Linked DNA regions of Arabidopsis thaliana. The protein of the gene in region 2 interacts with the protein of the main gene of each other region in a pairwise test. Each region holds a gene or a part of one and is shown on either strand. Other genes may lie near its edges.

The links. Proteins that work in one complex are often made in the same cells at the same time.
Region 1: the proteins of CPK1 (region 2) and GF14 PHI interact in a protein complementation assay, tested with the Arabidopsis thaliana proteins (one large-scale study listed by BioGRID).
Region 3: the proteins of CPK1 (region 2) and ANNAT2 interact in a protein complementation assay, tested with the Arabidopsis thaliana proteins (one large-scale study listed by BioGRID).

The regions. Positions count from the first base shown.
Region 1 is NC_003070.9:12,865,526-12,869,391, reverse strand, and holds GF14 PHI (GF14 protein phi chain), read right to left. Parts: upstream 2,267-3,866; 5' UTR 2,129-2,266; coding exon 1,634-2,128; intron 1,544-1,633; coding exon 1,421-1,543; intron 1,337-1,420; coding exon 1,220-1,336; intron 1,031-1,219; coding exon 878-1,030; 3' UTR 502-877; downstream 1-501. Other genes in the region: AT1G35150 (General transcription factor 2-related zinc finger protein), read left to right, coding at 3,154-3,419, 3,583-3,866. UniProt on the Arabidopsis thaliana protein: Is associated with a DNA binding complex that binds to the G box, a well-characterized cis-acting DNA regulatory element found in plant genes.
Region 2 is NC_003076.8:1,416,059-1,422,328, forward strand, and holds CPK1 (calcium dependent protein kinase 1), read right to left. Parts: upstream 4,497-6,270; 5' UTR 3,820-4,496; coding exon 2,907-3,819; intron 2,790-2,906; coding exon 2,646-2,789; intron 2,551-2,645; coding exon 2,398-2,550; intron 2,237-2,397; coding exon 2,121-2,236; intron 1,966-2,120; coding exon 1,798-1,965; intron 1,647-1,797; coding exon 1,422-1,646; intron 1,071-1,421; coding exon 957-1,070; 3' UTR 506-956; downstream 1-505. UniProt on the Arabidopsis thaliana protein: May play a role in signal transduction pathways that involve calcium as a second messenger. Phosphorylates the Ca(2+)-ATPase ACA2 resulting in the inhibition of its calcium activation.
Region 3 is NC_003076.8:25,972,145-25,976,227, forward strand, and holds ANNAT2 (annexin 2), read left to right. Parts: upstream 1-1,659; 5' UTR 1,660-1,770; coding exon 1,771-1,846; exon of another isoform or gene 1,847-2,221; coding exon of another isoform or gene 2,222-2,252; coding exon 2,253-2,398; intron 2,399-2,505; coding exon 2,506-2,724; intron 2,725-2,812; coding exon 2,813-3,025; intron 3,026-3,110; coding exon 3,111-3,410; 3' UTR 3,411-3,552; downstream 3,553-4,083. Other genes in the region: ASN2 (asparagine synthetase 2), read left to right, coding at 1-134; AT5G65030 (nitric oxide synthase-interacting protein), read right to left, coding at 3,553-4,083. UniProt on the Arabidopsis thaliana protein: May mediate regulated, targeted secretion of Golgi-derived vesicles during seedling development.

The DNA.
Region 1 (3,866 bases), on a different chromosome or scaffold from region 2:
CAAATTTGTTAAATTTTGTCTTCATATATATAGTTTAATGTTCAAATGTTGTTTGATATGAATTAATGTACGTTTTATCTATTTTTTGTTTTGTAAATTTAAGATTTTTATTTTTTAATTTATGTTTTAAATAACTTTTACATATAATAACATATTTATAATATTTTATACTATAAACGCTTTAACCGCCTAAAACTGTTTAGACCCGATGAAGCGTTGCATTGGGTTACCGCCCAATTAACGCCTAACGTTTTCTTGAACATTAATCTCTACCTTACTATGAGTGATGCTATCAATTAATCAGCTTTTGAGAGGTATTGACCTCGTTCATGTTAACTTTTGGTTGAGGTCTGCAAAACAATAACTGGTGAACGAGGTTGATACAAACTTTGGTAAGTCCCATTTGATTCAAACCTATATGCCCAACACTTGTTATTCCTACGCAAATCTCATCGAAATTCACGCAAATTTTGAGGTCAGTGTTTCCTGTAATAATCTGTATCAGTATTAGCAAGCGCTCATTCTCAAACAGCGTAAATTGTGTGTGCATAACCTAAGCAAACTCAGAAAACACAATTGCAAACGCAGTCACATGTATACAAAAACGCATAACCAGGTGAATGGCAAATCATTAATAAGAGAGAAAACTGAGTTTCAAGTACAAGGCATAAGCCGGGAAATGCAATCAATCAAGAGAAGAAGTAAAACAAAACAGAAATCCAGTAGCATCCACGATTGAGAAAAGCAAACAAAGGACAAGAATTAGACGGCCTTAGAAGCTTCGGGGATAGCAAAGGAAAGATTAGAAAATAAACACCAAGCAGAAACATAATTATAATTGCATAACTTAAGAATACTGAAAAAAGAAACCACAAACTTAGATCTCCTTCTGTTCTTCAGCAGGCTTTGGTGCTGCTGCTTCTTTAATCTCCTCCGGACTTTCGTCCTGATTAATCGTCGAAATTAACACAACAGAATCAGAGATCAAGACCAAGAAGCTCATGAGAGTATTATCATACATAATGCAAAACTAAACCATCTGATTCAAAGCTTATGAACAATGTGTGTGCACAATTCCAGCATCATGAGCCACTAAGCCTATCTATCATATCCATTATCAGCAATGAACTATGTTGGTGGACAATTCCAAAACTATTCTATCATAACCATTATCAGCAGTTTCGATGAAGCAAAGAACGGTTTCGTTTCGATCGTTTACCTGCATGTCAGAAGTCCAGAGAGTAAGATTGTCACGAAGAAGCTGCATGATCAAGGTACTATCCTTGTATGACTCCTCTCCAAGAGTATCTAACTCAGCAATGGCTTCATCAAACGCCTGTTATATCTCAATATCAATACACATAGAGTAGTACCAACACAATGACTCAAATCCCAAATAGATCAGAAACTTTCTCATCACCTGCTTAGCGAGATTACAAGCACGATCTGGAGAATTAAGAATCTCATAGTAAAACACAGAGAAATTCAAAGCCAAACCAAGACGAATCGGATGCGTTGGAGCCAATTCAGCATTAGCAATATCCTACAAACAAACAAAAGAAACACAGATTCACACAAATCATGATTTAACCTAGAAATGAGATCCAACAAAATTCCAGATCGGAGAATAAACCTGAGCAGCTTTGTAAGCGGTGAGAGTATGTTCAGCAGCATCTTTCCTCTCTTGACCAGTCTTAAACTCAGCCAAATACCTATGATAATCTCCCTTCATCTTAAGGTAAAAAACCTTAGAATCTCCATTAGCAGAAGCAGGAACAAGTCTAGTATCAAGAAGCTTAAGAATACCGTCACAGATTTTCGATAACTCAGATTCGATCTTGCTTCTGTAATCACGGATCGTGGTCACATGGTCATCGTTACCACGACTCTCTTCTTTTTGTTCAATGGAAGAGATGATTCTCCAGGAAGCACGACGAGCGCCGATTACGTTTTTGTAAGCGACGGAGAGGAGATTACGTTCTTCGACGGTGAGTTCGTCTTTGTCAACGGCTTCAGCGACTTTTTCCATGAATTCAACCATTTCTTCGTAACGTTCCGCTTGCTCTGCGAGCTTTGCGAGGTACACGAACTCTTCCCTCGCCGAGGATGATGCTGGTGGTGCCGCCATTAGAGATCGGTGATGGATGGATTCAGATCTGAGAGAGATTGAGAGAGATTTTTTTTTTTGTTCTGTTTTCGAATTTCAATTTTTTTTTTGTTGGGGTTTAAAAGATAGTTTTGTTTTTTTTGGTTTTTGTTTGAGTGGGGAGCGACGATTGCGAAAGGAGATGGAAGGAGGACCGTTGGATTAAATTTTGTACACGGGAATTTTCTGATACTTTTTGGGTCGGTTTTTAGGTCATCTCCAACAGCAGTTTTTTAATGAGTATCTGGAGATTAAAAAAATAAAAAGTAATGAAAAAGGTGGAGAAAGAAAGAGAAACGTTTCTCATATGAGAAACTATGAGAAACCCAACTCAACCCCTTGTTATTTATGATTGGTCAGATTTTGTCTTTATAATATAAAATTTAAATAAATAATATATTTATTATTAACTGATTAAAAAAATAGAATTGAGAAACTCATACTGTATCTGTGCGTTGGAGATGCCCTTAGTTTATTTTTATGTGGAAAAAGTTACTTTGTTGTATTTTGATTCCTTAATGGACCTTTTACGTCCATATTGGCATTTTGTAATTTCTGTTGATTGAGCAATTTTTTTTTTAAGTTGAATTTTGAAATTGTTTTGTTAAAAAAGAAAGAAATTGTTAGGTTATTAATTATTATATATTGTATAAAAAATATCTTTAGAACGTTTTATTTTAAAATTAGTGCCAATTTATTTTATGCAATTTATTTTATTTTTCAAAAAAAAAAACTAAATATATATAGACTGTTTAACCTATTAATTTAAAAGAAGTTTTACTTAATGATGTAATAAATAAAATTTTCACAAGACTTATTCTAATGGAAGAAACTTCAAACAATTCTTTTAAAGAGATATGTTCTTAGGAAATAAAAAAATTAGTTGATCAATGATATTTAGTTTAGTATTTGATTTGTTGGAATTAGATTGTACATATAAACTTATTATTACAGATTTTTTTTGTTAAAGTTATGTTAGCTTAATTGTACAAAAATATCACAAGCAGATGCTTGATAACAAGAAGAGAGAGCACATGCCTACATTGGCTCCTCCAAGCAGATGCTTGATAACAACAATAATGTGGACAGTTTGGATGACGAATGAAGTGGATGAGAATGAGTTTGATAACAAAGATCAAGATGAAGTTGTTCATGAAGAGAAGAAAAGTGGGCAGAAAGAAGAACTTCCTTCCAATATTTCCGATCCAGTAAATTGGGATGACATGAATATGAGATTCAGAGATTTATTAGTTGAAAAGGGTCTAGCGACAAGGTTATCAACTAATTACCGGTTTCGTAAAGATAGTATTGGTAGGCATTTTTCTCAAACATTTTACATAAGAGAAATGAGGAATGGGGAGAAACAAGATAGAAGATGGTTGATTTACTCAAAAGCATTAGATTAAAGTCTTTTGTTTTTGTTGTAAGTTGTTGAGACATGACAAAAAAGGTGGTTACTTGGCAACTAGCGGGTACAATGATTGGAGAAATCTTTCAAAGCGACTCAAAGAACACAAAGGCAGCCATGATCACATTACTTGTATGACTCGTCGAGCTGAGTTAGAGTCTAGACTACAGAAAAATAAAACGATTGATAAGCATGCCCAAGAAGCAATAAACAAAGATAATATTCATTGGAGGGAAGTACTCCTAAGGATCATTGCATTGGTGAAAACTCACGCTAAAAATAATTTAGCATTTCGTGGAAAAAATGAAAAGG
Region 2 (6,270 bases):
AGTAATCATGATCACGTTTTGTGGACTGAAATTAGGAAATTTAAAAGGGATAGGGACGCAGTTTTGAAATAGACAATTTAATCAGTTTATTTAAATAAAACCAATTTAATAATTTTATAAATTAAAAAGTCGTACCCCAAAATAAACATTTTTAAATGTCAACAACAAACGCAAGCTTTAAATTATTTATTTTTGGAGAAATAACTTGATTGTGAGACCCACTTTTATATTTTTCCTCCATTTTTTTTGTTGTTCTAAAGAGTAAGTTAGGTATTTATGTTGACCAAAAACACTAGCTAAAAGATCATTTTATTCGTTTTTTCCAATCATAAAAAAGAAATTAATTATGTAAATGGAAAATAAAGATCTCAAAATACTACGTGTTTAGGATTAGGAGGTTTGGTGGCTATTATTTTCGGTGACCAATTTAATTATCTGCTTATAATTTAATTTGATTTCAGCTTAGATTCGGTAAGGACTTGAATTATATAATTCGGACAACAAATTAATTGAAATTCGGTTAAGTTATTTTATTTCTCAAAAAAAGAAAACTGGGAAATTACATAGAAGTACCTCAACTTTTAAACGATTTTCACATAAATACTCAAACTTTTTGCTTTACAAGAAAAAGCCCTCACAAAAATTTGATGATCGTTATCGCAAAATTTCCAAATCGTGTTCAAGTTTTTTGACTCTTTGAATTTACTTACAGACAAGAAATCGTGGTTTGTAATGTTAGAAGACTATATATGCTCAAGAAGTAACACAATACAACAAAGTTTCCAAAACAAGTCTAAGACAAAACCTCATCCAAAAGATTGAGAGAATCCAAAAGAGGGCAAGAGAGAATCTTGGCTGTGTGCATATGTCTTCAACATAATCAAAATGGTATATATTATCAGAAAACTCTTTTGTCTTCTTGGCTTTAGTTTTGTACTTTTAAATAGACTGAGAAACTAGAGTTTAAGAGCAATGCTAAAGCTTTTCTCTAGACCCATTTTCACAGGTCCTCCTGTGATGCTTCCTTTCTGCATCATCGCCACAAACTCGTTGTAGTCTATTCGCCCGTCCTACAATACAACAATTCAAATGTTCAACATTATCAACATTCAACCAATATATCAATCCAAAACCGACATGAAAACTCGGTTTACTTCACTGTTTCTCAGGAAAGAGAGTTTCTACTATCCCCCTAGGTTTAACAAGAATCATACTCAATCGTCTCAGTTTTCCCAAGAAAACAGACATGAAAACTCGGTAAGTGAAGTGTAGTTTTAATAATGCAAGGATTTAAGAGGATCATATAAGTGAGATTCCTATGAGTAAAATGTATATAATCCATTGAAATTTGATCATTGTTGAGAAGTATTCAAGTCATTTTATAATTAGGATGAGATGATAAAAGGTGTAAAGGAACTTACATTGTCTTGATCAACATCGCGCATCAGTTCTTCTATGCGGACATCCTCAACACCAAACTCCTCACAAGCTTGTTGAAGCTCGTCTGGGGTGATATAGCCGCTCCCATCTTTGTCAAAGTATGTAAAGGCTGCAAACAAATGGTCCTCTCTCTCTATTTTGTTTAGATGTAATGTTGCAGCTATGAACTCTTTGTAATCTATTGTTCCGCTGTTGTCCACATCAGCCTGAATTATATACACATGAGAGAGAAACCAGATTACTTGCATATCTAGCAAAAACAGAAGTATATAACCACAACCAACAGAGTAAGTTTGAATGATAACAAGATCAGTTCAGAATCTTAGTTAGGGAACTGGTATGCCGGTTAAAACTTACAGCTTGCATCAAGTCGAGAATTTCAGACTCTTTGAGATTCGCCCCTACTCGTTTTAGTCCTGCTTTCAGTTCTTCGAAAGTTATCTGACCACTCTTGTCCGCATCTATCATATTAAACATTTCTTTCAAGCCGGCGATTTCTTCTTCAGATAAGCTCTCAGCAATGACCTGCAAAAAGGCATAAAGAGAGAAACTTAATCTCCGTCGTCTCTTTCTTTCCACATAACAAGAGGAAGATGGGTTAAATGTAGCTATCTTATGTTTATGACAGGAACTTCTTTTATATGGTTTTAAATTTTGTTTAGCATCGGAAAGCTGCTTACTCTAAGAGCCATTTTCTTGAACTTGTTCATTGCAGAAAACTGCTTCATACGGCTCAGAACAGCAGAATCCAAAGGCTTGTCTGGAGCCACACCGTCGACTTGAACCCATGGATGACCTGAGAAGAAGCACAACTCCATAAGAGATAGAACGATGGTAGATCACTCTACATGACAACACACTTTATTCATGTAGTGAAATCTATGCTCAATGGAATTAACAGAAAGAGAATCACAGCGCTTTAACTGGAAGAGAAGGTTTCAGATCAAAATAACTTACATAATACTTGGTGGGCAGTTAACCTTTTCTTGGGATCCCTGACAAGCATTTTCCTCACTAAATCCTTTGCACTTTCAGATATACTTGGCCATGGATCGGACGAAAAGTCAAGATCACCGTGGAGGACCTGTTCGAAAATACCTTGTTCGGTTTCTGAATGTTCAAAGAAACAAAAAGATTAGAGATGTTGTTCAGAGCCTAGTTAGGAAAAGTGACAAATCTCTTATCTGTATATATACAATTCTTACCAGCCCAGAATGGAGGAACTCCGCTTAATAAAATGTACACAATCACTCCAGCACTCCAGACATCAGCTTCAGGGCCATAACGCTTTCGAAGAACTTCTGGGGCAACATAATATGGGCTACCAACAACATCTGTAAAAACATCGTCTGCAAAGAGGAAGGGAATCGAGTTCAGAAATAATTGTTCGACAAGGATCACACTATTCACGTTAAAGACCAAATCTGGAAGTGGATCTTTTAAGATGAGTAACAATGAAATCAAACCTGGTTTAAAGAACATGGAGAGTCCAAAATCAATCGTCTTCAAGAGGGAATCTTCGTGTTTACTGACAAACAGAAAATTCTCGGGCTTGAGGTCTCGATGCATAACACCAAGAGAATGGCAAGCCTCTACAACCCCAACAATGGTTCTAGTGAGCTCAGCCGCTTTCCTCTCTGTGTAGTGACCGCGTTGAATGATCCTGTCAAAAAGCTCGCCGCCTGCACAACACTCCATTACAAGGTGCACTGCCACAACATCCTCATAAGCTCCTTTGATGGAGATGACATTAGGGTGACCAGCCAAGTGATGCATTATCTGAATTTCTCTTCTCACATCCTCAACGTCCTCATCAGTCAATAGCTTCCTCTTAGCAATCGACTTGCAGGCAAACTCCTTCCCCGTAGTCTTCTCGACACATAAAAAAGTCGTCCCAAATTGCCCTTGTCCGAGTTTCCTTCCCAAGGAATAGAATTCCTTGAAGTTTTCAGTCTTCCTCTGCAACACTGACTCAGTCCTAAGCCCTGCACTTGACACTCTCTTCATGTGTTTAGGCTTCTTAGGTTTAGCTGGAGGATCAGGTTTTGACTCCGGCTTGGTCTCTGACTTGGTCTCCTGCTTAGTCTCTGGTTTGGACTCAAGGCTTATCTCCTCTAGCGTTTCAGGCTTGCTTTCAGTTCGAATCTCTCTGTCCTTGGTCTCGACGTCAGTCCCTGGCTTCGGCATTGTGACCTGTTCAGGAGGTTTATTCTGGACTTCATCAGATAATCGAGATCGAAGCTCTCCCGAAACAGCTTCACTTGCAATATCTCCATTACTCATGGAAGCCGAATCATCTCCATCTCTTGGCCGCCACATTGCAGCTGAAACAGATTGCAAGAAGCCATTTCTGCTTGGTCCAACACAAGTATTACCCATTCCCTAACTTGTCTTAAATCTCTTTCACCAGAAATAGCATCAAGATCTGATTACAATAACCTCAAAAACAATCTAATCTCATTACTAATCTGATAAAAGTCAAATCCTTTCGATCTTAAAACCATCAGACATCAAACCTCGGACTTCTCAGACGATTGAATTTCTACACAGCTGAACTGATAAACCCAACTTGGATGAGGAGAAACAGCAGAGAGCTTGCTTATACAGAGGTGAGAAATAGCAAGAAAAATCAAAAGGGTATCGGAAAAATCATGACTTGAAACAAACCCAGAAAATAGAAAGTCACAATGAAGGAAACCAAACAGAGAGTAGAAAGCATCCCCAGATAACAACAACAAAGAAAGAAACAGAGAGATCTGAAGAAGAGTAAAGAGAAAGAATGAGAAAATAAATTGAGTTGGGTGGGAAAATAAAAGGGATAGTTTAATAGCACTACACTTGCATAAACCGTAGGGACATTTGTTAATTTAATGAGAGAGTCAAGGTCTGTATAGAGAAGAAGACGATGAAGAAAGACGAAGAAGAAGATTGAACCAGTTTGAAAAACGCGTTTCTTTTGTTTTGATTATCTATCACCGCCGAGTTTTCCGCTGAGATTTGTCTTAACTCTCTTTTTAATTAATCTTTGATTACAAAGTCCACCACCCTCTTCAATCTTGGCAACGCAGCTTCTTATGTAAGGGTACTTAATTAGTAATATATTAAAACTTTGAGGTAAAAAGGTGATTTTCCATAAAATCAATTTCCTTTCTGGAGTCCTAATAACATCCTTTTTATAATGGTCCCATCATTTACTACTTTTGAAAAATATAACCCGCAAGTGAAAAATGCGCAAACAAAACCCACATATTAAAGAGCAGTCATTAAAAATAAGACATCCACATGTTAAAGCTTGAACAAATCACATGCTCTACACATTCTTGTCTTCGCCCTTATGTTTTACCCTAATTACTCCTTCCGACCACAGCTATTATTGAAGATCAAAACCTAGACCAGAACTAATATTGTAGAGACGGCGAGTTTGGTGTTCTAAACATCATGATCACCACTTTCCATTGTTTTTGCTGGTCCTAACGGAACACTCAAGCACCCTTCCTTTTTCCAGTAGATAAGCCAATGAGATGTCCCTACTGCAATAGAACGGTATGAATCTCTGGACACTCTGTTATTGATTTGATATGGAAAGAATGCTTGCCTAAAACAAAAACGAAGCTCACTATTGTTATCAAGAGATGGTGGTTTGAATCAGTATTTAAGAAGATATGATTTGTGGCAAAGACGCTCACTATGATGTGTATGAGACTTGGTTTGATGTAGTGCAGTATGTTCTGATAGTAGATTATCAATCATCACAACAGCGTTTTTTGGTGACAAAAGTCTGTTCATTGCCTCTGCCACGTCCTGATCAAGTAAACATCCAAGGACCTCCAAAAACAGATGATCCTTATTACAGAGATTCTCAATCTTTTCCGTACTTGTTCCTTGATTGATCCTTTTCACTATGACGAAATTAAATTGACAACTGTTTCCATATCTTGCTATGAGGAACAAAATTTCCTAGTCATGACTATAAAATGAAAAGTAACCTATTCGGCATTCTGTTTATGACACTAATAGAGAACAAGTGTGGGAAAGGGAAATGACGGTATTCAAGTGTGTGTCTTCCATTGACCGGAAAATAAGGTAAGAAAACCCTCACCTTTCTTATCATGTGTTGCGCTTGGAAATGGAAGAATCTCTTTATGCTTCTTTTCGCCACCTCTAAATCCTCCAACTGCATGAACACAATTCTATATCAGATATATGAGTGTGCACCATCAACTAAGTAACAGTCCAAAACCATCTAACTGACTAATGCGCGAAGACACCTACATTGGCTCAATCTTTGGCTGACCAGGTTTTCTGTTCCTAGCATCAAATACTATATTCTCGAGAAAATCCATATTGCTAACACCAGGGATCTCAACTGGAGTTTGGAGACTCAAGAAGAGAACCGCAAGAGATCCTTACATATCATGCAGATGCTCGGCTTTAAACACAATGATTTATGAGAGGGGTACGAGTAGAGATACTCTAGGAATCATATGTTTCAACAACATGAAGATTGAGAAACTTACCTTGAAAAAATGTGTTCATAAGCAAAAAACTTACGAGCCTCAACCTTTCATAATATTAGTTAGGAAATATCAGCAATGATGCAAATGATTCACACAATTGGAATTAGTTAAGCTTGTCAGAAATTTTAGCTAATGCTCTCTTAGTACAGAAATAATATCCAATAGAATCACGGCTAACAAACTTCACAACGTCTATATGTACTAGTGTTTCATTAACATGAAAAATCTCTCCTTTCTTCCACAATTCAACAATCACAAGCACTTAAATCCCTAACCTCAATCAAACGGCTCCTATTCCCGTCATCATGATCCG
Region 3 (4,083 bases), about 25 Mb from region 2:
GGTCAAAGAATCTTGATCCGTCAGGCCGTGCGGCTCTTGGAGTTCATGTTGCAGCTTATGAAGAGGATAAAGCAGCTGCTGCTGCTAAGGCTGGATCGGATTTAGTAGATCCTCTTCCTAAGAATGGAACATAAGAGAACAACACTACAGGCATTGAGGATATAAGCAAATGTTTTATTCTTCTACACAGAGAGATCGTTATCTTCTAGAGGGATCAATGAATAAAAGCTTCGTCCATTTCTAGCTGGAGATTCCATGGATCTCCAGTTAGTGCAAGTGATACACGTTGTCTACATTTGTACCTAAGTTTCTGCATTTTTTGTCGTTCTTTTGTGTTAGACAAGTCTTGGACCCTAGATGATACTTCAGTTTCTTAGACGTTAAATTTGATGAATCCGAACTTGTTTGATTTCAAAGCCTGGCCTTTCTGCAATGTGTTTTTGTGCATGTTCTGGCTTGTTTGTTGTTACTCAACGCAGGATTTGTTATAATATGTACAATATATCTAGTACACACATAAGTCAAGCAAGTAAGACTCCGTGGCCCAATGGATAAGGCGCTGGTCTACGAAACCAGAGATTCTGGGTTCGATCCCCAGCGGAGTCGCTCTTCATCTACTATTTTTATTTTTCTTACGCGCATTGCTTATAAAAGTTTTTTAATGAACGTGGGATAAAAGTTTTCAGATTCGTATTTATTATTTCAAAAAGACAGATGACCTAACCTCATTACTCGTGTATGGACTTTTTTTTCCTTCAAATTATATTTTATGAAATTTGAGTAGACGAAGTAACTGCTCCCCTTCAGATTTAGCTAAAGAGCCAACCACGTGAAGTCGTGAATCCTCTCTGTCGTTTTCGTATTAACAAACATAAGAAATTAAGAAATGAAAATCTCGTTTTCTTATGTATAATTGTTTTATATCGATCACCGGTTTCTCTAGGTCTAGGTATAGCTGTTCCAATATCATGATTTTTAAGTTTAGTTTTCAACATCATTAAGTAAAAGTGTGAACTCATTATCATCATCGCTTTCCCTTTAGAATTTTTGCAAACACACGAAAATAAATAAATTGTTTGGACATATTATTGAGAAACATAGTCAAATGAGCCCGTTCACATTCTGAATCATATAAGTTACAGTCCCAAACCCACGTTTTATTAAAAATGTACTACTAGTCAATAATTTATGTTGAGTCATATTTATTTATTTTGACACAGTTGGTTTTCGCAGTTTCTTGTTTATTAGTTTCAAATTGCACTTATTAGTTTTAAAAACAATTTAATTTGATATTTGGTATAATATCTCTTTTGAATTATTTACAAACTTTATTACAGCCTGGTTTTGAAAAAAAAAAAATACTTTGCATAATTGCTACTTTGCTAGGATTACTTTATAAACTTTTTCAGCTTTGATTCATTTAACATTAAACCCAATTAAAATATTTTATTCATTTTAGCATAAAAGGGGAAAAAAAAGAAATATATATATATATATATATATATATTTCCTCTTTTCAATTAAATCAGCTGTTAAAAGTGGAAAAAATCAAAGAGATATCAAAATATTGATTAGAAGAATATGTCCATATTCAATTATTTTATATTATCTTTATTAAATGCTTTACCTTACAACAATAACTTAAATAAATTTTTGGGATTCCCGTTACATTACTTAAGTAGGACGACGTGCGTCTGCTTCGTCTCATTACAAAGCAGAAGAAACACAAACAGAGGCAGAGATCTTAAGAGTTAAAGACTAATCCCAACAATGGCGTCTCTCAAAGTCCCAAGCAATGTTCCTCTTCCCGAAGATGACGCCGAGCAACTCCACAAGGCTTTTTCAGGTCTCTCTCTTTTTTTTTCATCACTTGATCGGGATTTAGTTTCTTCTTATACGATCTCTAATCTGTAATCGGTTTCGTTAATCACAAGATTAATCATTTTTGATATCTTAAGTACTCTCCTATACTCATCGTTGAGTATTATTTAGTTTGTTGATTTAATCACAACTACATTGGTGATTCGGGATTTACTCTTGTTTGACCTGATCTGTGTTCTGTGTCCCACCACAAGATCAGGATCATGTCTTCTTATATTAGATACAGTCCGATGATGTCCTAATTGATTGATTATAATGAAAATATGTTTCTTTTTGTTCTTTAGTGAACCAAGATTATGCTTGTTTTGTGTTCTCCTTGGGAGATTTGTGACATGACAAAATGTTTGTTTTTTGGGTTTGGTCTGAAACAGGATGGGGTACCAACGAGAAGCTGATCATATCAATACTAGCTCACAGGAACGCAGCACAACGCAGCTTGATCCGCAGCGTTTATGCAGCTACCTACAATGAGGATCTTCTCAAAGCATTAGACAAAGAGCTTTCTAGCGACTTTGAGGTATTTTTAACTCTTTTCTTTCTTTCTTTCTTTTGGGGGTCTCTGAAATGATATAGTGACTGATTTAGGATTGTGAAACTGTTGTATTTGGTGTTTTTTTGTAACAGAGAGCTGTGATGTTGTGGACTCTTGATCCACCAGAGAGAGATGCTTATTTGGCTAAAGAATCCACCAAGATGTTCACCAAGAACAATTGGGTTCTTGTTGAAATCGCTTGCACAAGGCCTGCTCTTGAGCTTATCAAGGTCAAGCAAGCTTACCAAGCTCGATACAAGAAATCAATCGAGGAAGATGTCGCGCAACACACATCTGGTGACCTTCGTAAGGTAATCATTCAATAAACCAAATCTTGCTTGTTTGTTTTGTATTTGGGACACATGTTTCTGACATATTTGTGTGTCCTCTTTTGTATAGCTCTTGCTTCCTCTTGTGAGCACTTTCAGGTATGAAGGAGATGATGTGAACATGATGCTTGCAAGATCTGAAGCTAAGATACTTCACGAGAAGGTCTCAGAGAAATCTTACAGTGACGATGACTTCATCAGAATCTTGACAACAAGAAGCAAAGCACAGCTCGGTGCAACACTCAACCACTACAACAACGAGTATGGAAACGCCATTAACAAGGTTAGCTTAACCACCAACTGCTTTTTCATTTGATGTTACAAAATCTTGTTCGGAAAGCTTATTATATGAAGTGAAATTTTTGCAGAACTTGAAGGAAGAGTCGGACGACAATGACTACATGAAACTACTAAGAGCTGTAATCACATGTTTGACATACCCTGAGAAGCATTTTGAGAAGGTTCTTCGTCTATCAATCAACAAAATGGGAACAGACGAATGGGGACTAACCCGAGTCGTGACTACACGAACTGAAGTTGACATGGAACGCATCAAAGAGGAATATCAGCGAAGAAACAGCATTCCTTTGGACCGTGCTATCGCCAAAGACACTTCTGGTGACTATGAGGACATGCTTGTTGCTCTTCTCGGACATGGCGATGCTTGAAACTGTTTCAACTTTCGAGTTCCTCCTTTCTCTTACTGCATGGTTTGTTTTAAATAAAAGAGTTGTGAAACTGGTTCTGCAACTATTTATCAATGATCGTTTGAGTTTGTTAAATTTGAATCAAAATCTGTTTTTCTTTCTTTTAAATACAATCTAAAGCACAAACTAAAGCAAAAGCCTCATAATCTAAGCAACTACAGCTTCCGCAATCTCTACTACTACACACACAACAAAGCTTCTCTGTTTTCTTGTCATTCTTGATCAGCATCTTCTCCATTTCTTCTAAAGCTTGGACCTTTAAAGCTATCTTCAACAACAAAGGTCTTTCATCTTCCAAAACCCAATTTTTGGATTCACCCATCACCACAAGTCTCTCAATCTCCATGCCTGGCGACTCGAAAACCGATTCCCAAGAAACCTCTCCTCTCCCAACAACCTCAGATTTAGATGATTTCCTAAGAAACGTCGATATTTTCTTCCTCCGTAGTTCAAAAACGACTCTCTGTTGCTTCAATTCTTTGACAGCTGCTTCGTCCCCTTGACACTCCAGACCAAAAGATTGATCCCACATGAGTTGGTCTGATTTCGAAGAGAGCTCTCTCGTGTTTACTTCGATCTTTCTGTTGTGTCCTGCAGAGAGATAGAATCTAACGAACAGAGTACTAGCTTGTGA